Linked DNA regions of Arabidopsis thaliana. Each later gene encodes a partner of the first gene's protein in a complex. Each region holds a gene or a part of one and is shown in the gene's direction. Other genes may lie near its edges. The genes, in order: NRPE7, NRPD1B, RPB5E and NRPE5.

Evidence for each region.
Region 2: NRPE7 (region 1) and NRPD1B share a complex: the UniProt entries of both Arabidopsis thaliana proteins name them as parts of the RNA polymerase V complex.
Region 3: NRPE7 (region 1) and RPB5E share a complex: the UniProt entries of both Arabidopsis thaliana proteins name them as parts of the RNA polymerase V complex.
Region 4: NRPE7 (region 1) and NRPE5 share a complex: the UniProt entries of both Arabidopsis thaliana proteins name them as parts of the RNA polymerase V complex.

Annotation. Positions count from the first base shown.
Region 1 is NC_003075.7:8,404,850-8,410,258, reverse strand, and holds NRPE7 (RNA polymerase Rpb7-like, N-terminal domain-containing protein), read left to right. Parts: upstream 1-2,367; 5' UTR 2,368-2,548; exon of another isoform or gene 2,549-2,707; intron 2,708-3,214; 5' UTR 3,215-3,222; coding exon 3,223-3,759; 3' UTR 3,760-4,012; downstream 4,013-5,409. Other genes in the region: CLPB2 (casein lytic proteinase B2), read right to left, coding at 1-205. UniProt on the Arabidopsis thaliana protein: DNA-dependent RNA polymerase catalyzes the transcription of DNA into RNA using the four ribonucleoside triphosphates as substrates.
Region 2 is NC_003071.7:16,711,884-16,718,287, forward strand, and holds the start of NRPD1B (nuclear RNA polymerase D1B), read left to right. Parts: upstream 1-2,576; 5' UTR 2,577-2,841; intron 2,842-3,196; 5' UTR 3,197-3,205; coding exon 3,206-3,286; intron 3,287-3,542; coding exon 3,543-3,669; intron 3,670-3,760; coding exon 3,761-3,876; intron 3,877-3,972; coding exon 3,973-4,020; intron 4,021-4,353; coding exon 4,354-4,518; intron 4,519-4,684; coding exon 4,685-4,843; intron 4,844-4,927; coding exon 4,928-6,404. Other genes in the region: AT2G40020 (Nucleolar histone methyltransferase-related protein), read left to right, coding at 1-17, 112-309, 482-626, 714-970. UniProt on the Arabidopsis thaliana protein: DNA-dependent RNA polymerase catalyzes the transcription of DNA into RNA using the four ribonucleoside triphosphates as substrates.
Region 3 is NC_003074.8:20,170,948-20,176,682, forward strand, and holds RPB5E (RNA polymerase II fifth largest subunit, E), read left to right. Parts: upstream 1-2,657; 5' UTR 2,658-2,725; coding exon 2,726-3,010; intron 3,011-3,698; coding exon 3,699-3,875; intron 3,876-4,031; coding exon 4,032-4,145; intron 4,146-4,224; coding exon 4,225-4,350; 3' UTR 4,351-4,515; downstream 4,516-5,735. Other genes in the region: SKIP5 (SKP1/ASK-interacting protein 5), read right to left, coding at 1-314, 488-546, 1,456-1,534, 1,620-1,764, 2,216-2,378; AT3G54500 (agglutinin-like protein), read right to left, coding at 4,845-5,172, 5,359-5,510, 5,581-5,735. UniProt on the Arabidopsis thaliana protein: DNA-dependent RNA polymerase catalyzes the transcription of DNA into RNA using the four ribonucleoside triphosphates as substrates.
Region 4 is NC_003074.8:21,122,791-21,129,075, forward strand, and holds NRPE5 (Eukaryotic rpb5 RNA polymerase subunit family protein), read left to right. Parts: upstream 1-3,046; 5' UTR 3,047-3,087; coding exon 3,088-3,339; intron 3,340-4,091; coding exon 4,092-4,268; intron 4,269-4,360; coding exon 4,361-4,474; intron 4,475-4,554; coding exon 4,555-4,680; 3' UTR 4,681-5,285; downstream 5,286-6,285. Other genes in the region: AT3G57070 (Glutaredoxin family protein), read left to right, coding at 1,384-2,637; AT3G57072 (uncharacterized protein), read right to left, coding at 2,909-3,046; BIGYIN (Tetratricopeptide repeat (TPR)-like superfamily protein), read left to right, coding at 5,837-5,929. UniProt on the Arabidopsis thaliana protein: DNA-dependent RNA polymerase catalyzes the transcription of DNA into RNA using the four ribonucleoside triphosphates as substrates.

The DNA of each region.
Region 1 (5,409 bases):
GGTTGATAACGTTGACAACTGACTGAGCAGAGATATCGCCGTCTCCTGCACTGGTGATTGCTCGATAGAAAACACTAGTCAGATCAGAAATCAAAGTAACTCCGAGATGCAGAGGAGTTACTTGACCATGTGACAATGACATGGCATGTGATCGAGCCGAGGCAAGTATAAGCTTGACATTGGGGTCAAATTTCAGATCATTCATCTTTTCTCTTAACCCTGTGAGAAGAAATCATAAATCCAATATATATAATATCAGAGAAACAGGGCAGATAAACGAATATGATCTAGATTCTTTTAAAAGATAGATTCAAGAAAAACCTTTTAGGATTTGGGAAAGAAAATACTTTCTCTGATTTAGTTAATGTAATATATATGTTTCCCTTCTTATATAATTTGACTTATCTACTTCTTTTTTTTTGGTATGTCGACATCAAGAAAATTTAATTACTAATTTGAAATTACACATTAGTAAAGCTGAAATGTGAATCAAATTACCTTAACCGTCGAAAATTTATGAATTTTGATTTCTGATTTCTGAAAAACTAGAAACCCTAAATCCAAATAACTAAGTTGTGATAAATTATAGGAAATAAATTTAATTCTTTAAAACAATCAAATTTCATCTATATTTATTATTTATTGTTGAAACTAAGAAACTAGCGGAGATTTGTAAAATATTTATTGAAAAAATGTTAATTCTTATTTTTTTTCAATGTAAATTCTTATTTTGAGTTAGTTAGTTTTTTTTTTTGCCAAATACAAAACACTTAGTAAATTCAAAGATAAGAATCTTATGTAAAGAAACAGTAAAAAAGAGATTAGAAGAAATCATGACCTTCCATCTTTCTCTTTTTTTATGACATGTGTTAATCAATTGATGAGATTTTGATACATGTAAAGAACTTCTTCTAATTAGATTTTGATCTATGCTAACATAAAAATGAAAAATACAATTTTTTGACAAAAAAAGTAAAACGTTTATATTAAAGTATATAGTTAAAAAGGATACACTTCAATGAAAATAAGAAAATTACATAAAAAAGGGAAAACCTTATTAAAAAGGGGAAAAGGTTATTAAGTAAAACTTTGTTTCTTAAAATGAGTAATTAACATAATCACATTAGCCGTTTCTTTAGGTGTCGAAGATGTTGTATGGAGGAAGAGACAACAGAGCATTTATTTTTCAACTGTACCTATGCGAAAGCTGTTTGGCGAGGCTCTGGAATATCAAACAGGTTACTCTATGACCCACGGACCCCATGGGAAGAAAAGTTGAGAGAGATCCTCAAGTGTAACACGGGGACAAGAACGCCACATCTTAAGCACTTACCTCTTTGGATCTTGTGGAGACTATGGATATCACGAAACAACCTCACCTTTCAACAAAGGAACTTTTCATGGCGAAAGGTAATACGACAAGCTCGAAGTGATGCAAAGGAATGGCATGATCAAGATGAAAGAAGTTTGGGAATGACGAACCCTCCGCAATTTCAGAACGTTGGTTTTCAAGGCGAATATCATTGGATGAAGCCGAATACAAACTGGATCAAATGCAACTATGATGGTAGCTTTATCAACGGACAACCGGCTAGTGCAGGATAGGTGATTAGAGACGACAGAGGCACCTTTAGAGGTGCAGGTCAAGCTAAAGGAAGACATGTAAACACAGCTATGGAAAGCGAATTTCAGGCACTAATTCTTGCAATGCAAAGCTGTTGGATTAAGGGATATACAAGAGTATGTTTTGAAGGCGATAACAAAACAGTGGTGGAACTGCTTCATGGTCGGCAACACAATTTCAATATTTTTAATTGGATTAGGGAAGCACGCATTTGGAGAGACAAGTTTAATGACTGCCAGTTTACTTGGGTTCGAAGAGATCACAACAAAGCGGCGGATATCTTAGCGAAACATAGAATACCATCTGATGCTTTGTCGCATTTTTACAACCTCATTCCTAATGTAATCACAAACGCATTATACCGGGATTTTAATCCCTATTTAATATGAGAAGCATGTTTGAGTAAAAAAAAAACATAATCACAACACGTGACAGACGACCAGATTTCAATGGAGATATTTTTTTAATCTAATTAGATTAAATAATTAAAAGGAAATATATATTAATTTGTATTTTTCTATCAATTTAGAGAAGAAAAAGTATATTTTCGAATATGATTAAAAAGTTTAATCTAATTTTAAATATTTGAGAATCAAATTTTCAAAGTTTTTAAATATATGAAATTAGTAATCTTAAAATGAAAAATTAATTAGTTTCTGAAAATATATTTAAAAGAAAATAGAGAAAAAGTGAATACTAATGGGCCAATAATAATATAGTCTCAGTAATAATGGGTCTTTTCAGCCCATCGACATGTAAACAAACCAAAATTGAAAGTCTCCGAGTGTTACTTCTCAGTCGATAGAGAGTTTGAAACAACAAAACAAACTCTCGCTTCTCGCATCGTTGATTCTCCAAAACCAGTTTTCACTCTCTATTGCCGATTCTCGTTTCGTTTGATATCTTAGGAATCTATAAACAAAGGCATGGGTTCAGTATTCTGTTGATTTTCTCAATCAATTTCTCAGCTATTTTCAGTCTTAAGGTCTTGGTCCATGGGTTGCTCGAGAAAATGTGGAAAAAGTGATGGTCTGAGTACTTAATCGTAAAATGCAAATACAAAGCTTTTGTGGGTTTATTAAAGTTGGTAACTTTTGATAGAATTTTGAGGACTCTTACTTGTTTACTTACATGCCTGCGTAGTGTTTGTTTAAATGCCTGTGAGAAATACTTTTTAGTGAAAAGCTCTTTTTTTTTTTTTGTTTAGTGTTCGTTTTAGTAGATATGTAATGTGAAACTAATTTCTGAATCTCTGTTTTGAGTACTGTAGAGTTATGAAATTGGTATTTTGCTAATGCATGTCTACATTGTGTCCAGATTCTTATAAAAACAGAAACTTTGATCTTATCTTATGGATGAATTACTTTAGGTTACTGATGATGATTTGTATAACCTAGATGTTCGTTTCAGAGAAAAACCTGGAAATTACTGTCTACTTCCTTTTCCTTTCTCTGTGATCTTTCAGTTTTGATTTTTTCCAGAGTCTTTCTCATATCTTTCCTTTGAGAAGAATGTGATGATAGTAAAGTATTTCTATTCTCTGGATCAATGATGATAGCTATGTGACATTGCTTTGATTTGGTTTTGAAGGTTGAACAATGTTTCTCAAAGTCCAATTACCATGGAACGTGATGATTCCAGCTGAAAACATGGATGCCAAAGGGCTGATGTTGAAGAGAGCTATACTAGTAGAGTTACTAGAGGCGTTTGCTTCCAAGAAAGCAACCAAGGAGCTTGGCTACTACGTGGCAGTCACAACTTTGGACAAGATTGGAGAAGGCAAAATCAGGGAGCACACCGGTGAAGTTTTGTTCCCGGTAATGTTCAGCGGAATGACTTTCAAGATCTTCAAAGGAGAGATAATTCACGGTGTGGTGCACAAGGTGTTGAAGCACGGTGTCTTCATGAGGTGTGGTCCAATCGAGAATGTTTACCTCTCCTACACGAAGATGCCGGATTACAAGTATATCCCTGGAGAGAACCCGATCTTCATGAATGAGAAGACGTCTAGGATTCAGGTTGAGACTACAGTGAGGGTTGTTGTGATTGGGATAAAGTGGATGGAAGTAGAGAGGGAGTTTCAGGCGTTGGCTAGCTTGGAAGGTGACTATCTTGGACCATTATCTGAAGAGTGATCTGCTTGATCTCTTCATGTGATGGCGTTTTTGGGCAATCTCTTATGTCTATATAACTCGGCTTTAGTTCATGTTTGGTAGTAACTAGTAACTACTCTCTAGCTGTGCAAATAATGAAAACATTGATCTTTGAATGTAATGAAATCCTTCACCTTCAAGAGGAAAGATTGGTCTAATTTAGGTTTTTTGTATTGGTAATGATTTTTGCTTGCTTGTGAGTCTCTTCCATATGATAAGCTCAGATTGGAATTAGACTCTGAAATCGTAGTCAAACCGGATATATAAGAAATATTTCAAACCAAAGTTAACCGAACCAATCTCAGAGCACGATTATGGATTAATCATCACTCATCACCATCGAGAAATCTCTAGTTTCAACAGGTCTCCAGATTTCGAAGCGGCGTATGAGTTTTTTTTTGCCAGTGACTGTTTCTGCGCCGATTGAAGCGGTGCCGCTTTGAATATTGCTACTTTTGCTCGCTATGTCAATTCAAAGTCTAACAGCCCAACCCAATAATCGTTGAGTTTGGGAAGACGAAAGAAAGCCCACGAGAATCACATGAGAATGTGATTGCTTGGCAGGTCTAAAACCCTAAATAAAAAATTTTCAATGTTTGGATTTGTGGATGACACAGGATTGGTTAATACTCGTTCTTGGCCCGACTCTCCTTTCCTTCGGTAATCGAATAGTAATATTTATTTAGTTAATATCTTTAGCTAATAGCCAACAATTTTATTTCGATAAAAAGAAGTATCTGAAAAACACTTTGATAACAATTAGATAGTAATTGCATGTATTTTATCAAACTATTTTTGGTCCACGTCATCAAGAAAAACATGCCAAGTTGCAAGAACATGCCCACGAAAGCTTTATATATTTTTATAGTTAATTTCAAACTAAACTTTCAACTTATGAAAATACCTTGTTTTAAGATACCAAATAGAGGTATATGAAAACAAGGTTTACTGGGCAAATGTGTTTGTTGGGGAAATAACTTTCATCATATTTTCATATTTTCAGCAAATTCGAAGATCGTGTGTTTCACATTGAGTTGTATTATGATGCATAATTATTGTCTATTCAACACATGGTCGGCTCAAAATAATAAAGGACCCAGAGCTGGAAAAAAAATTAGTTCACATATCTGTGTTTTGTTATGTAAATTTTTTTTTGGATCGTAATTGTACTAGATTTACTTTAAAAAAAAGAGAAATTTTGGGTGGACCCTGTGCCTCAGCTCCTCCAGCACATGTGTAGAGTCGGGCCTGATCCAACATACTTGTCAAGGTAAATCTTGTCTTCTAGCCAAAGTACACTTAGAAACATTTGCTTAGTACCTATTTATGTAAGAGTTTATTTCTTATATTCTAACAATGATTTGGTCCGATTGTATTGTAAAAACTAAAAAGGAGATACTAATTACTTAGTTTTGTGAAAATCTATGTAAAAATAATAATAAAAAAATTTCTACAAGTGCAAATTGTGAACTAAGATATTTATAAAAAAAGATTGATCAATTATTGTTTGTAATTTTATCTTAATAAAAGCAAAAGCTGTATGAGGAAGAAAAAAAAAGAAAGAAAAAAAAAAAAAGCAAAAGCTGTATAACCATAGTTTGGAATGCAAGATGATTAAAGTCCATTATATAG
Region 2 (6,404 bases), on another chromosome or scaffold:
TTAAGGAACTGTTAGAGGTTTGTTCGCTAGTTTTAGGGTCTCCATTTTTCCGTTGTTGATAACATTTTCCTTGCAACTTGAAAATAACGTTTTACCCACTTTGGATTTCAGGTCTACGAAGACCAATGGTTTTTGATTGAAGATGATAGCTATGGTCCCCTCCTTGCTATCTGCCTTGAAAAGCAAGAGGAAAAAGAGAAACAATTGGCTGAAGTACAAGCCAACCAATTGCCTGAGAATCACAATGAAGAGATGGCTGAGGAAGAACAACCCAATCAATTGGCTGTGGAAATACACGAAGAAGAGAAGGTGATTTGTTTTTCTTCCTTCTCGTTCTCTTTCTGTGCAGGTTCACAAATCTGTTGCTTCCATTGTTGGGATTCGTTTTGCTGGCATTATTAGAAACCATTGACAGAATTCTTGAACTTGGTTTACCCAAATGGTATGTAACTTGCAGCATGATCCATCTTTTGTAATACAGGAGCAGGAGCAGGACATGCATATTGAGTATGGAAGAGACCAAGCTGATGAGTTATCAATCAATAGCGAAGCAGTCAATGACCCATCACCAGCAGCTATTCATTTGGGAGAAGCATCATCAGATTATGCACAAAGTTCTGTTCGAGGTAATAAAAGCTTTTTTACTCATATCCATACCAATCTCAACATAAGAAATGAAACATTCTTTTACTGCGGTCAAAATAATTGATTAGGTGTGGAGAATCTTCATTGTGGATGGCTAATTGATGAGGAGGAGACGGATCCTGAGGAGGAAACGGATCCAGAGGAGAAGGAGACCGAGCCAGAGGATCCAAAGGAGAAGGAGACGGAGCCAGAGGAGGATAGTGATGGTGATGATGATGAGATCATTCAGCTTACTCCAGAACCTCTTTGTGAAGAACTTCAAGAGCTTCTCAGGGAAGTACGTGGACAGAAGAGGAGGAAGAAAGAGATGAGGTGGGACAAGTAAAGGAGCTATGGAGCTCCTGTAAGTAGCAAATTGATATATATGTTAGGAAGCCAAATAGTAGTAGTAAGCTATAGTATTGTGGTGAAAAAAGGTAAAACGACCCATCTTAACATCTCTTGAGATATTGGTTTTTAATAATTTGTGATGGAGTAGAGAAAGCAGATAGTCTTTATCAGTAGTTGTATGAGTCATACAATAGTACCCGAACCCACTTATCCAAAGATCAATGTCGAAAGTGGAAACCAAATCCCTCTAAAGTAAATTGAATAGCCAGTCTAAAAGTTAGACCAAATCTGAAAGTCGGTTTAATTGCAATTATACCTTCTAAATGCAAGAACCAATATCAACCGGTACTTCATATTCTTTTGATTTTTGATTTGTACATATAAACTTTTTTTTGTACATATAAACTTAAATGCAAGTATAGCTTGACTTGTATTTTACACATCAGCGGAAAAGTTTGAGAGAGGAAGCATATTGTATTTCGTTTGGTTACAACTTTTGCTAACTTTTACAATAAATGGAATGAAATTTTTTTCCACTTAATTCCTCCTGAATAGAAAGAAATTGATGCAATTTTGTTCCCTTTTTAAATCCATGAGCCAATAAGTGCATCTCCAATTATATTCCAAATTTCACTCTAAATACTAATTTAGAAAAAATCCTTTTAATACCACTATATTCTCAACTCTAAAAGGGAGTGATGAATATGGTATGATATCATCTGTCACTTCATTTTGGAGTTACCCTTTACTTTTTATTTACAAAATATTTTCCTAAATTTATACTCATGTTCTTCATTTATGTGTAAACAAAATTATATAAATGAAGAAAAAGAGTTATTGTTAACCTTCTCCATGTTTTCATTATAAATTGATATGAGCATTGGTTACCGTTCTTTCGGATAAAAACGAAGTTTATCTCTTGAAAACATTGTTCCTTTCATATTCATATCGCATCAATATATAATTGAAAAGTTCATTTATGGTGATCGATCAAATATATAACAAAATAAAATGAAAAAATACTTTAACATTTTATATATAATTTTTGAAGACAAAAGAGCTGTTTTTTTGTCTTTAATTGATTGGTCAACTGTTTACATATTCATTTTTTTGGTATGAACTATTTACAAATTCATGAATACAAAAAATATCTCAAATTTTTTTTTACAAGTCGATCCACTTAGTTCTTACCGTTTTTTTGGTATAACCATTATTTTATAAAACATCGTTCCCGCTAGATTTTTATCGCATCAAACATAGCGTACTACAAACGGAAACGGTCATCTATGGCGATCGATCAAATATACAACACCAAAATCGAATCCAAAAAATAGTTTACTTGAAGTATTTATATGTTTTGCTTCACTGCTAATTCTATGGTTTTGAAATCCTTTATTCTTCTCAAAAAAAAAAAAAGTTTGTCAATGGTTGTTGACATGGTCTTGCATAATATGTGGATAAATATTTGTTTTAATCATTTTCATCATCATTGCATATTCCCAAGTGTTATCAATTGTTTGACAAATAAAGAAAAATTAAAATTGATACCTTTTTATTTTAGTTAATTAATAACGAAACTGAAAATATTTCTCCCTTTGCATGCAATGTGGGTTTTAAAGACGGAAGCTGAAGAGTGAAGAAGAACAAAAGATTTTTGAGAGAGAAAAGTAGAGTCACTCCAAAATTGTTCTCTCGCAATCTTCTTTCTCGGTTTCCTCTTTTAAGAAAAAGTCCGCCATTTTCACTCTCACTCAGATTTCTTCCCTCTTCTCACCTGCAAAAACCCTTGTTTCCCGCTGTTTCGTTTCTTCTCCGGTTGAGGAACCAAAACGGGTCAAATACGCAGCTGAATCATCGAATTCTTAGGTATTTTCGTCTTACCCAACTCTTATCTTTAGATGTTTTTCCGGGAAAAGAGCTCGATCATGACTCCGCCGTGTTTTTTTTTGGGGGGGGGGGGGTTTCTCCGAAATGGGTTTCAAATGTAGGTTACTCTAGGTTTGAAAGTTCGGATTTTTTGGTTCACTGTGTGTTACTACAGCTTCGATTTTGTGTAAACGAGTATAAAAATTGTATCTTTTACAGATTTGAGAACTTGTTCTTCAAAGACTTGATTTTTCTTTGTATCAAGTTAGTGAGCTCAAATGTCTTTGTTTCTCTGTTTGTTTACATCTGATAAGAGCTAACTCGGTCTCGCTGGTGTGTGATTTTCGCTCGTTAGGGTTTTTTCATGGAGGAAGAATCTACATCAGAGATTCTTGACGGAGAGATTGTTGGAATCACATTTGCTCTTGCTAGTCACCATGAAATAGTAAGTTATAAGAGTTATACTCTCTGGAATTGATCCATCTTGTTCTGCATCAATGTTTATCATGGGTTTTACATAACTGAAGGATTTCGAATAGCTAAAACCTCTATGTTTTGGTTATCTTTGGCACTAAATTCACTATAATTGTACTCAAGCTCTGTGTGATGCTAAGTGCTACACTTTTGCATATAAATGTTGTTCTGCGATATATCCTCTGTCACTATTCCATTTCTCACTGGACTGTAATTCTTTCTTGCAGTGTATTCAATCGATTAGTGAATCCGCAATTAATCATCCCAGTCAACTCACTAACGCATTCTTGGGGTTACCTCTTGAATTTGGTAAATGTGAATCTTGCGGTGCGACAGAACCAGATAAATGTGAAGGTAATCCAGTTCCGTAGTTGCTATATTTTTGTTCTTACATCATTTGTTGGAATACTTCTTCAGATATCGGTATTTGTTTCTACATTTTCAGGTCATTTTGGTTATATTCAGCTTCCAGTGCCAATATACCATCCTGCTCATGTTAATGAGTTGAAACAAATGCTGAGCCTTCTGTGCTTGAAATGTCTGAAGATAAAGAAGGCAAAGGTATTACCTCATTGAGTTTTCTTAAATTCCATGTGATCCACACATAAATAAACCATATAAAATCTCGACTAATCTTTTTCACCTTTCTGAGTACAGGGCACAAGTGGTGGTCTGGCGGATCGCTTGTTGGGTGTCTGTTGTGAGGTGAGTAATGGCATATACATTCTGATTGTTTCCTTTTAAGTTTTACCTGAAAGCAAGTTGATAGATGTTTCTTATGTGAACCTGGTTCAGCATTTAGTTAGTTTTTCTAAGTTTTCCTTCAACTAGTTGCATGTTAGAAAACTTGCTAATTCAAATCTAAATAGTATTTGTGCTTCTTTTGATCCATTCAGTGAAAGTAACATTAATCAATGCTTGTGAAGCAGTAGCTATTGGTATTTTCGTGGCATCATGAAACATTCACTGCTTTATGTTATTTTGGATGTTATTATTGCTGAACGTCTTGGATTTTTAACTACTATATTACTTTATTAGGAAGCTTCGCAAATCTCAATCAAAGATAGAGCATCAGATGGTGCCTCATATCTAGAACTGAAGCTCCCATCTAGGTCAAGACTGCAGCCTGGTTGCTGGAATTTCCTGGAAAGATATGGTTATCGCTATGGAAGCGATTACACGCGTCCCCTGCTGGCAAGAGAGGTTTTTACTTTCTTCTGTGTGTTTATGTTTCTGTTTATGTAGGATTTTATGGTGACGTTCTTTTTGTTCATTTGGAATCATTCTCTATCTTTAAGATCTTTTCTTTCTGGAAACTGATGATTATGTACTTTCCGTGTCCTTTTCCATATGGTGGGAAAACAAATAGGTTAAGGAAATTCTAAGACGGATCCCCGAAGAATCAAGAAAGAAACTCACGGCAAAGGGACATATTCCTCAAGAAGGATACATACTAGAGTATCTTCCTGTCCCGCCTAACTGTTTGTCAGTGCCAGAGGCTTCTGATGGTTTCAGCACCATGTCAGTGGTAAGTTGAAACTAAATTACTATGTTGAGTTGAATGCTTTGGCTTGTGTTGTAACCCCTGGATTTGTGTCATTCTTATTTTCAGGATCCTTCCAGAATTGAGCTAAAGGACGTTCTGAAGAAAGTCATAGCCATAAAAAGCTCTAGGTCTGGCGAGACAAACTTTGAGTCGCATAAGGCTGAAGCCAGTGAGATGTTTAGAGTGGTGGATACCTATCTCCAGGTGAGGGGTACTGCAAAAGCGGCAAGAAACATTGATATGAGATACGGGGTGTCTAAGATCTCGGATAGTTCATCTTCAAAAGCTTGGACAGAAAAAATGAGAACACTTTTCATCCGTAAGGGTTCAGGTTTCTCTTCCCGTAGCGTCATCACTGGAGATGCTTACCGACATGTGAATGAGGTAGGGATCCCAATAGAAATTGCGCAGAGAATCACATTTGAGGAAAGGGTTAGTGTCCACAATAGAGGTTATCTACAAAAGTTGGTAGACGACAAGTTGTGTTTGAGTTATACTCAAGGTTCTACGACCTATTCTTTAAGGGATGGATCCAAGGGGCACACTGAGCTTAAACCCGGGCAGGTTGTTCATCGCAGGGTCATGGATGGGGATGTTGTGTTTATCAACAGACCCCCGACAACACATAAACATTCTCTTCAAGCGCTTCGGGTGTATGTTCATGAAGACAACACCGTGAAGATTAACCCTCTGATGTGTAGCCCCCTCAGTGCTGATTTTGATGGTGATTGTGTCCATTTGTTCTACCCTCAGTCTCTTAGTGCTAAGGCAGAGGTTATGGAGCTCTTCTCTGTGGAGAAGCAACTGCTTAGCTCACATACTGGACAGCTGATTTTGCAGATGGGTAGTGATTCTTTACTGTCTTTGAGGGTAATGCTGGAGCGGGTATTTCTGGACAAGGCAACTGCTCAACAGTTAGCTATGTATGGCTCTCTGTCCCTGCCACCACCAGCACTAAGGAAGTCCAGTAAATCTGGCCCAGCTTGGACAGTTTTCCAGATTCTACAGCTTGCCTTTCCAGAACGTCTGAGTTGCAAAGGAGACAGATTCCTGGTTGATGGAAGTGATTTGCTGAAGTTTGATTTCGGGGTTGACGCGATGGGGTCCATCATCAATGAAATTGTAACTTCAATCTTCCTGGAGAAGGGTCCAAAGGAGACACTTGGATTCTTTGATTCGCTGCAGCCTCTATTGATGGAAAGTCTGTTTGCTGAGGGATTTAGTCTAAGTTTGGAAGACTTATCCATGTCTAGGGCAGACATGGATGTAATTCACAACCTAATAATCCGAGAGATTTCACCTATGGTGTCTCGCTTGAGATTATCATATAGAGATGAATTGCAGCTAGAGAACAGCATCCACAAAGTGAAGGAAGTGGCTGCTAACTTTATGCTGAAGTCATATTCCATTCGGAACTTGATTGATATCAAGAGTAACTCAGCAATCACCAAGCTGGTGCAGCAGACAGGCTTCTTGGGTCTTCAGCTTTCTGACAAGAAGAAGTTTTACACGAAGACTCTGGTAGAGGACATGGCTATCTTTT
Region 3 (5,735 bases), on another chromosome or scaffold:
GCAGAACCAAGTCTCCCCTTGTTGAAACAGCCTTTGCACCTCCCTCGATTCTTGTCTGCAAAACGGTTACACTGTTTGCTTTAATCTTTCCAGTAACAGTTTCTTTCACTTCCACATGGCTTAAGATATTTTCAATGTCTTCATCTCCAGCAGTGCTCACGATTGGGCATGAGAGATGATCCAAAGGGTTTGTCTCACATTGAAGCACACATCCATCAATCGTTAGCCTTCCACTCCTATGAAGCAAACAGCACCCGAGCTCTGCTTTTACTGTTAAATTCGCAAGCTTGCAGGTTGATAACAGTTCCAGGGCACTGCACAATAAACCCAACAACAAAAAGCCGTATACCAAAGTATTTTCCTTTTCTTTAAACATCAATGGGAAATGCGGTATTCAACAACTTTTAAGAAGCTAAAACCTCCCAGAAAGAATTTTGAAAACAACTGTAGAGAGGAAATGTCTTAAGAGGGAATATGAGTTCCAAACCTGTCTGAACCACGAGCACAGACGAGGGTGGTTTCATCAGGAATCTCGCCTCCACCGACCTGAACAAAGCGAAGATAATATAAAACTGAGACTACTATCGAACATTGAGACTTATGTATCAACATCATCCTCAAGGCATCTACTTTCAATAGCTTAGGAACTCCTTTCAACCTCAAGGCGTACATTCTTCCACTTAACTGAAACTAGGGACACTGATAAGCCAACCCCTAATCTACACTGAGGTATTCTAGGGGTGTGCATCCATACATTCATGATAAATCACTCATATTTCTGCAACTCTATCTTTTCATCCTAATTCATACACCAAGGTCTACTTTCAATAGTTTTCATTACAGCTTACAGTCATTCCATGTGTTGCCCAGTATGAGAAAAGGAACATTACTGATAGGTAGGTGGCAAGTGCATAAAAGACTTTGAAGTCGAACTGAATTCTTTTTTTCGAGTTCTCACGACAGTCAAAGAAAATTTTAGTCATCAAGTTCTAGTTCTTTAACACTCGTTAAAACGTCCATGTCACAAACAGCTCGTGCTTAGTTTCCAGTTGTGGCATTGAAAGTAATTGTGTGCAAGCTTAAGATATCTTTCATTTCTATTTTGGTACCTAAGACGTGGCATTGTTTTCTCTGGATCTCTTCAATGCATACTGATCTCAGATGCCGAGACCTATGGCATGGAATGGAATCTCCATCCTCATGAGAATAGATATGTTACCATATGTTCACATGTTTCTTGGATACTACACAGATGTTGGTATAAATGGTTTATACTAAGTCCTATAAATTATTTTTCACTACTTGCGATTTTTGAAGTCTAATTTTTTTTGGCAAGACTCAAGAAACATGTGAAAGTAGACCAATTTCACATTGCCATTTCTAGAGAAAGTTATAAACGATTCTTTCAGAAATATCAAGCAATTACACTAGACATATATTCTTTGAAAGACATACCAGGCAAAGAGGCTTTTTAATCTGAATATTAGAAACGCGATAGTTCCCACCGGCTACTATTAAAATGGTATCGCCGGGTCTAGAGGTGACAATTTGGTTAGATTTATGGACCCTTTTACGAATAACAAAGAAGTGTAAATAACGTAACTGATAATATTACAAACCTTGCTGCAGATACAGCTGACTCAATGTTGAGGAAAACTCCAGGCTGAGATAAATCCTTGACAAAACGGTCAACACGGAGCCACAAGCGAGGGTGACACGCCAGATATCTCCATCTGTGGCAAACGAGTGCTGTGTTATACCTATCTGCAAACTCACAAGAGATACACAAAACAGCATTGAAACAGACTGTAGTACGCAACAAATGCCCAAGTCAATCATACAAACAAAATACGAAATTTTCAAAGCTTCACACAACACCATACAGATCAAAACATAGCAATTCAATACAAAGTCAAAAGCTTTCTTGCTGATTCTGTTACATTACTACAAAGCTGTATCACATACACACCAAGTCAAGAGAAACAGATAATTCATCATGGAGATTAGAATTGAATTCAATTATGATTTGATTAGGATCTGCAAAGTCTCAAAGTAGTAAATTTGAGACACAGAACCGTCATTAAGATGTGAAACAGTTGGTCAAATTTTCTAAATGAATTACAAACAACGAAACAATTAAAAGCAGAATTGAACAAAGAAGTATAAAAGTATGAGAAAACCAAAGTAATAGATGCGAAAAAGAAACCAATTTTACCTGGAATTGGAGATAGGAAGCTGAGGATATGCATAAGGCAACCATCGTCGAGATTGTTAAGAGACGTGAGAGAATAAGGTTTCATTCTCTTCTTCATCTTCGATTCAACAATTCTCTCTGGATGCTTCTTATTGTCGAGCTTTGAGATCTCATGTAACTCCATGGCCGCTTTAGGAAGTATGAACCCTAACTCGTCGCCGTCGTTAATAACAGCCGACTCAACTATCCATTGACGTCATCTCGACATTGGTTATGTCCGGTCCAACAAAAACATGTCTTTATGACATTATGGTTATGCTTTTTTGGAGTTTTCTTAAAAGTAAAATTGAATAAAAAAGAGAGGAATCGTAACCGTTGGTTGATTAATGCAATGGACAGTCCAGATGTATTTTAGTAAGGGGCCAGCCGAGAAGTCTCAAGCACAAACAACACTCTCTCTTGTGACAAAACAAACTCATAAAACCTTTCTCTCTTCCAACAGCAAAACTCTGAAATTGACAGAGGAGAAAAATGGAGGAGACAATGGCCGAAGAAGGGTGCTGTGAAAATGTTGAGTCGACGTTTGACGACGGTACCAACTGTATTTCGAAGACTGAGGACACCGGAGGAATCGAAAGCAAGAGGTTTTACTTGGCTCGCACGACAGCTTTTGAGATGCTTCGCGATAGAGGCTACGAAGTTAATGAAGCTGAGCTCTCTCTCACTCTTTCTGAGTTTCGTTCTGTTTTTGGTGAGAAGCCTGAGCTTGAACGCCTCCGTATCTGCGTTCCTCTTCGCTCAGATCCCAAGAAAAAGGTTTCAGCTTTTCTTTGTTCCACCGCTATTTTTCGATTTGGGTGTTACTTTTTGTTTTTAACAGATGAAAATGTGAAAAAGGCATCACCTTTTTTAGATTTTGGGTTTGCATTTTGGTTTAACGCCTTCAAAGAGAAAAAAAATGTGTAAAACGCTTAAACTTTTATCGATTTTGAGCTTCCAGCTTGGGTTTGCGTTAAAACAGAAGAAAATTTGAGAAATGCGTCGACTTTTTAGATTTAGGGTTTAACCTTGGTTTAAATTTGCCTTAATACAACAAAAAGATTTCAACTTTTAATTATAGGGTATTTTTAGGATAAGACTAGTGAGAACTGAGAAGTATATGGGTTTATCTTCTTCTTTCCAATGATGTGTGGTTTGCGTTTGGTCTTGTTCTGTTTAATTTATAGCTTTTGGTATATGTTTTGGAAAAGCTGAAGAACTAATACATACCCATTTTTTTCTTGGGAACCAAGAAAATTTGTTGTAGCAGTAAGGTTCCTCGCATGGTACTTGTGTTGTAACGAATGGCATATTGCTTTAACTTTATAATGGGAAAGGATGGGATCATATTAAGGTGTCATTAAAATGTTATGTTTGAACAGCTAGTTGAGATGAGAATGTAACCAGACATATTCTCATGCTTTTACCTGTTTTTCATTAAGCTTATTGAAATGGTTTTATGCAGATCCTTGTTGTGTTCATGGGAACTGAACCAATCACCGTGAAGTCAGTTCGTGCTCTTCATATTCAGATTTCCAACAATGTAGGCTTGCATGCTATGATTCTGGTTTTACAGAGCAAAATGAACCACTTTGCCCAGAAGGCATTGACTACCTTCCCTTTTACAGTTGAAACTTTCCCGGTCAGCACTTATCTGTTTTCCTACATGATGAAACATTATAGCTCTGGATTTGGATTGTCTTGCATGATATCTATTGAGGATCATGAAATTGAGACCTGAATTGGAAATACGTTAACTGAACAGTTACATGTTTATACTTATTGAATATGCCAACAGATTGAAGATTTGTTGGTCAACATCACAAAGCACATTCAGCAGCCAAAGATTGAGATTTTAAACAAAGAGGAGAAAGAACAACTGCTGAGGAAGCATGCACTTGAGGACAAACAGGTCTGTTTATATTCTGCACAAAGCTTCTTTGCCTATTTGTGTATGCTATGTTTTAATGGATGTTTCTTTTCCATTTCAGCTTCCTTATTTGCAGGAGAAGGACAGCTTTGTGAGGTACTATGGGTTAAAGAAAAAACAGGTGGTGAAGATTACATACAGTAAAGAGCCTGTTGGGGATTTTGTGACATACCGATGCATCATCTGAACTCTGAAGAAAGGCAAATTCGTTGCAGCTACTCTATGATTAACTAAGACACTCCTGTTACCTATTTCTTCTCCTCAAAACAGTACTTTATGTGTCCTTGGTGTGTGCTTACAATTGTATTAAGAGATTGAATCTGGTTTCGAATGGGGGAAAAACATTGCAAACTACACGTTTTCCAAAATGTAGTTGTCATGGAGATACGTATAACAAAAGAGGTTTTCGAAAAGTAACAAAAAAAAAAAAATCTAATTACAAGAATAAGAGCTTCACAAGAAAGGAGCAGTCAGGAGATTGTTTCAAGAGACGCAGAAAGATGCTGTCTAGTCTGCAGAAATACCCAAAGCTCCTCTCTAACACGGCAACCTAAACTGATTGAAAGCAAAAGCAACACCTGCGTATTAGTTACAATCTGTATACAAGCTCTATGCACGTATACAAAAGGGCATGGAAACGATTTATAGAGTTATAGTATGGAAATAACAACCTTCTAAATTTCACAATTTTCTTTTGTTTCCTTGGGATGCTTCAACAACCCTCTCACCAACAGTACTACTAGATCCAGAGTTGGGTGCATTCCCCAAAGCAAGTGAATCTGCAGGTCCTTCTTCCTTTTGAGCTTTCTGCTTAGTTAAGTGAGTCTCTCGTATGCTGCATTTAGGAAAATTCCCTTTTTCTTCAGTTCCCATCTTCGAAGAAGCGGGTGATTCTGGTCCTTCCATTCGCTTTGCCGCCAACATATCAAAAGGCCTATGAAAGAGCAAATGAGCCACAGTTCTGTCTGTGGGGTTGGTCACTGCTTCTGTATCTGGCATCCCAGCATATCTGTAAATATCAAATACAAAAGCTAGTTATGTAAACCACAATTTGATTGATAGTGATGATGAACTCGGTAGCATTTATTAAAAAGGTTAACCCCCATTTACGAAAAAGTATGCTTGTAGTTTTACTAGTTTACATTGTCTAAGTACGAAGTTAACCATATTGAATAATACGCATAAATTTGCTTACCTATATCTGGATTCTTCTCTGGGAATGACTTCCTGGTCATCCTGGCTAGTCTTGTTACTGTGGGATGTATCACTAGTGTAATGTCTCTGAGCTGCACTACCAGCCAACCGGAATAAGCTATCCCGTATACAAGTCCGTGTTCCCATATCCAACTGCAGGTCAATAAAGAGTATTAGTTTACTCCCAACACAAACATAACAAGTCAATCAACCATTTGAGTACCTTTGCTACAACATCCTGAAGCCGATAAAGAACTGCGAATTCTGCTGAATTATCAACAGCAGCAGCAAATTTGCCAGAATCATCTTGTTCCAAAGATGAACTAGGATCAAAGGAAGGCATTGCAGTTAGCCCTTGGAGATTAGTTTTGTCGACAA
Region 4 (6,285 bases), on another chromosome or scaffold:
AGTGTTAGGTTCTGAATTTCGAATCTTTCCTCTTCCCTTATTGAAAAGAGTAAAAGACAAAGAACAAAGTACCAAAAATAATAAAGAATCTTCAAGGAGTTTTTGCCTTGTGCAATTCAACTTCTTCCCATGTTGTTTATGTGTAGTCCAATTAGTGTTATTTTTAATTAAGATGTGGTCCAATTAGCTGTTCTTTTTCTAAACCGTATAACATAATAATACGTGATTCAAATACATTAACATAATGCAAAAATGTAACAGCAAATTCATTAAAAACAAAAAATGTAACAGCAAAGCACCATACTTTCTCTCGTGGGGATTAGAATATACAGCTTTCATTACAAAGACTAGTCAACTAAATCGTACCAGCTAACTGCAAAACATCATCTTAGGAAATAGAAAAAGGTATGTGTAGATCAATCAAAATGAATAAAATGTTTGATTATGAATAAAAATGAATAAGGAAGAGTTCAATGAGATGATGATATTAAATTATGGTAGAAGAAAAGTTAATAACAGGTCAGATATAGAAACTTTCCGTAAAGTCAAGGATTTAAATTATTCACGTGAATACTCTGTCTAGGTCCTATCTTGAAATTTATCATTCAAACCTTTAATATTATCTATATGTTTTTACTTTAAAATTAAATTTTAATATATGTAGATATAAAAATTAATATTTTTAATTTATATATTCTTAATATTTATATCTAGATAGAGTCATATCAAAACATTTTGTTTGAATGCAAATTTCAAAAGATAAATTTTGGAATAAACATTTTCAAAGACGTAAATTAAAAAAGCAATTTAGAAATAAAGCATTGCAAAAATAAATTCAACTAAAATTTAGATGTAGATGTATATTGTGAACCCCCAAAATTAATTATAAAATCTTTTGGAACTGACATGTCAATATTTGTTTGATTGATCAACCTTTTTTCTCCTCCAATCTTCGTTTAGTTCTAATAAAAATATCATAAAGAATTAAAGATTGCAGTTATGAAGATAATGACATTTTTCTTTAATATTTTATTTTTCTTCATTATTTTAAAAACGTTTGGCTCAATTTATAGACAGTGAAGGAAAGTTCTTGGAATTTGGTTCTTCTTCTATACATAAGCTTTGGTTACACAATCAAAATCAAATCGAGAACTGTTGTTGTGTCCGAAAATCAACATCAACATCGTTTCTTTCTTCTGCCATTAAATTTCACCATCTTCCACCTTCAACTGCCCTAGACAGCTATTCTCCACCTTTCTCTTTTCTCTCTCTGTTCTCTATCATTCCCAGAGATAACCAAACAATCTCAGAAGAAACCAGAAAGAGCAAAGAAACTAAAAACTATTATTCATTAAAGTCAGTGTTTTTAAATTCGATTTCGTAATGGGTTCTTCTGCTTCAAAGACCGCTTCTTCCGTTTCTTCTGCTTCTTCCTCATCTGCGTTTTCTCCACCGCCGACCAAATTCAGCTCCGATTCATCTTCACCGGCGGTGCAGAGAGCTTTTTCGTTTCCGACGCCGTTGGTTCACCATCCTCCGGCGAGAAAAGGCGACTCTCATCACCTTGTTTCCCTTACATCTACATCGTACGGTTCTCTTCTCCTCCTTGATCTCGATGGATCCAAAAACTCCTCTTCCGACCAACAAACGCTGCCTCGTATCTCAATCTCCGGGAAGAACACACCAGATCCGGTCTCTCCTGATTCAGTCATAAACACTTGGGAGCTTATGGATGGCTTGGACGATGAATTCGAATTCGAAATTCCCAAACCGGGTAAGCGTCTAAATTCGGATTTTTGCTCTAAACCCGACCCGAATCGGAATGTGAGTTTAAATGGGTCTTCGTTGAAATTGGATGAATCTTACGAGATTGTGAGAATCGAAGAAGACGATGGAGATTGGGTTCCTTTGACTTATAAACCTAAGCAACCTTTGTGGAAGCATTTGTCTGAAGAATCATTTCTCTCTGATTTAGATCCCAGCATTGTCTCATCCTACAAGAAAGCTTTGTCTTCTAAGCTATTAAGCAATCATAGTAATACTAGAAACCCTCATAGACCCACAAAGTCTCTCTCTTGTAGCCCATCATCAAATCCATCCATCTTAATAAGCGAAGAACCAAAATCTGTATCCTCTAGTCAATTGATTTCATCACCAGCCAAACCGAGATTACCAGGAACAGAAGACAAGATTGTACTCTACTTCACAACCCTCAGAGGAATTCGAAAGACATACGAGGATTGTTGTTGCGTTAGAGCGATATTGAGAGGAGTTCAAGTGTCCGTAGACGAACGTGACATCTCTATGGATTCCAAATACAGGAAAGAGCTTCAAAGCGTGCTTGGCGCCGCAGAGAAACCGGTTTGTTTGCCTCAGGTGTTTATCAGAGGAACTCACATTGGTGGCGTGGAGGAGATTATGCAGCTAAATGATGGTGGTGAATTAGCAGAGATGTTGAAAGATTTCCCTGCTTGTGAACGCTTGGGGACATGCCGGAGCTGTGGTGATGCAAGGTTTGTGCCTTGTACTAACTGTGATGGTAGCACCAAAGTGTTTGAAGAACAAGATGAACGGTTTAAGCGGTGTCCTAAATGCAATGAGAATGGATTGGTGCGTTGTCGTGTGTGTTGTCTCTAAGTGATCAGTTTGATCAAAAGATGTGTGTGAGAAAGGGGATATAGATTGATTGACTAAACATGGTATTTGGTTAGTAATGTATATTCAAATAAGTAAGTTGGCTCAAGCCTTTTATTATTTACTCTTATGAGTTGTGTTCTTTTGTTCCATTTACGCTCTTGACCTTTTGAACTAAATGATTCTTACTATATGAAGTACATCAAATGGTAGATGATGATTGATAATTCGCATAATAGCCGAATGATTTGCTTTGTTTGCAAGGTATTTTTTATCAATGAAAAATATGTGCAACATTACCACAAATGTAGTTTGATTGATTGATGTCACCTGCTCGCTCACCTATATTAGCTTTCTTCCTTCTGTTCTTAAATCCTAAAACGACAACGTTTAGTCTCCCTTTAAATCCCATCACTGGACTCGACGACTTTTGCTCAGATAAGGGAGACAAAAATGGAAGTGAAAGGGAAAGAGACAGCTTCGGTTCTGTGTCTGAGCAAATACGTGGATCTATCGAGTGAAGAGAGTCATAGATACTATCTTGCGCGGCGAAATGGCTTGCAGATGCTCCGAGACAGAGGCTACGAAGTCTCCGACGAAGATATCAATCTCTCCCTTCACGATTTTCGAACTGTTTACGGTGAACGTCCCGATGTTGATCGTCTTCGCATCTCCGCTCTGCATCGCTCCGATTCTACCAAAAAGGTATATCGAAGTATTTTCGTATTCGTTGTGATTTTTCGATTTCTAGCTGTTTTTTTGTCTTTGCATGTTGTGGGGTTTACTGTTTGGCAGTGAAGAAGATGATGGAATATGAAATTTGTGACTCTTTTAAATTTCTTATCTTCTAATTGAAGTTTGAATTGCTACTTTTGTGGATTCAGATGACTAAAGTTTACTACTTTATTGTCCTTATCAAGTAGCATACCTCATTTGTTTGTCCTCTGAATTTTTGTAATGTGAAATGTTTCTGGTAACAACTAGCAAAGTGATTCTTAGATCTCTTCCTATGGCTATTGAACATTCGGACAATTCATTGAGTGATCTCTTCAATCTTTAGAGTATGGTCAATGTCAAATGTGCGAGTTCTGATGATAGCTACAAGTTTCCATGTTTAATTCTAGAATGAGATTGAACTGCAAAAGAACGGTTAAGTTGGATATTTGTTGAAAATCTTACCCCTTTTCTTGTTGGTTGTTTGGTTCATGTTACCTCTTTTTGTATGCTTATAGACATGCTTGTCACCTGCTTTCAACTAGTCGATTTCATATATTGATTGCTACAAGATTTTTGTTACTTATAAATGTCTTCTATTTTCAACTCATGATGTTTCTTGCATCAGCTCTAGTCTTATGGCATAACGACAGATATCTCATAGTGATTCTCTGGATATAGTAACATTGTGTTATTGGTTTAAAGGGTCTGCTTCAAGAAGTGTTGTGATTTTGCTTGTTCAGGTAAAAATTGTCTTTTTTGGTACTAGTATGGTTAAAGTCAACGCAATCCGCAGTGTAGTAGCGGATATACTTAGCCAAGAAACCATAACTGGGCTGATATTGGTTCTGCAAAACCATGTAACCAATCAAGCCTTGAAAGCCATTGAACTTTTTTCTTTCAAGGTCGAGATATTCCAGGTTGGTACACCTATATATTTTCCTAATCTAATTTTTCTTGGTTAGTACTTCAAATCTGTAACATCTAGTTTCCTTTTTGCTGTCTTGTTAAGATAACGGATCTGCTAGTCAACATAACCAAACATTCACTGAAGCCACAACATCAGGTGTTGAATGATGAAGAGAAGACAACACTTCTCAAGAAGTTCAGCATTGAGGAAAAACAGGTCCATTATCCATTTCTTGCAGCTAAATAAAAGTAATAGTCTCACTTTTTGAACCGTTCATCCCAAAATTTATTTAACAGCTTCCTCGGATTTCAAAGAAAGATGCTATCGTCCGGTACTACGGATTAGAGAAAGGGCAAGTTGTGAAGGTGAATTACAGAGGCGAACTCACGGAATCGCATGTTGCCTTCCGATGTGTGTGGTGAAGAAACCAATTAAAAACCATCTTGTGTACTTATTTTCAGGAAAAAATAACTTGTATGTTTCTAAGGTTTTGTTTTTAATCCTAGAAGATCCGTTGCTTTGAACACAAGAAAAAAAGTTAAGGAAAAAAAAAAGATCCTTTGCTTGTTCTTGAAAACATTACCATTTATGTTTTCCGTACAAAGAGCAGTCACTACACGCTATCAATACACAAAAACAGGCCATGGAGACTCCAACATTTCTTCAGAGGTTCGAGGACAATCAAAGCTCATTGATGGATCGGTTTGAGCGGTTATCTTTCGAGGCTCACCTCAACAATGCCTTGCTTGGTCGAAGTTTATCTGAGTCAGGCTTCTCTTTGATGTACAGTGCAGTCGTCGATGATTCCCCGATACATACAGCAGCTCCGGCTAGCCAAGCCCGACGACGACTAGGACTGAATAAGATACTAAAAAATCTGATGAAACCAATTAGATATTGTAGCAAAAAAATGGGCAGGGGAAGAAAAGAAGAGGCGTGTGATATTGATCCAAAGAGTTTGAAGAAGTGGCAAACTTTCAGCAAATCTCTCCGATTATTTTGATGCTTTTATAAGTCTTGTATTTTCTATGGACATGAATATATATGTATTTTAACGTTAAACTGTTATTCAATTAAACAAAATACATCACCTAAATTAAAATCGACAACAAAAAAGTACTATGATCTAAAATATGAAATTTGTTGCTTCAGATATTTTTAATAACTTAAAAAATAGAAATTACTTTTACAAACCATCAATAGTAATAACTGCTTGATTGAGTTAAAACTCCACGTTAAACATCTAATCGTGAAAGATTAAATCAGTTTTTTTCCTTTTCTTATCTAGTTGTTATGAATCTTGTAAATTTATTGGAAAAAATCAGTAATACACCATCACATGTCACAGAAGTTTTTTATTCCAAAGGGTTGTTAATAACAAAACAGAAGATATGGTGATCAATGTGGGTAAGTCTTAACAATACAGGGGTCTTGTTGATAAATTCAAGGGATAAATATCGTCTGTTTCCCTGAGCTTGGGCAACAAGTCCAACTTCTCTCCTTAAGAAACTCTCCTTAAGAATTAAGAAAGAGACCAGAAACGAAAACCTCATCAATCAAAGCTCAAAATCGCCTTCAATGGATGCTAAGATCGGACAATTCTTTGACTCCGTCGGTACTTTCTTCAGCGGCAGCGATAAGATCCCATGGTGCGACGGAGATGTCATCGCTGTAAGTTTTCTCTATATCCTTCATTTGTTTCGCTTTTTTCCGCCTATGTTTCCGAAGAAGATGAACCATCTCTTGTAGGCAAATGGAATCATGAACCATTTGCAGAAATTTAGACCTGTTTTCGTGTTTCTGCTTGGAAATTTCTGAAATCGGATTTGCTTTCTCGAGGATATTTTTTTATTGGATTCGATTGAATCGAGCTTTAGAAGTTCATGAGTTGCTGTAAAATTCGTCCTCAAATGAGCGTGATTACTGATTTTTGCACCCTTATGTTGGATCCGAATTTGATAGCTGTGTAGAACTTTACCAAATGTCACAGCATCAATGGTTTTTTGTTTGATAGCTTTGTATCTTCT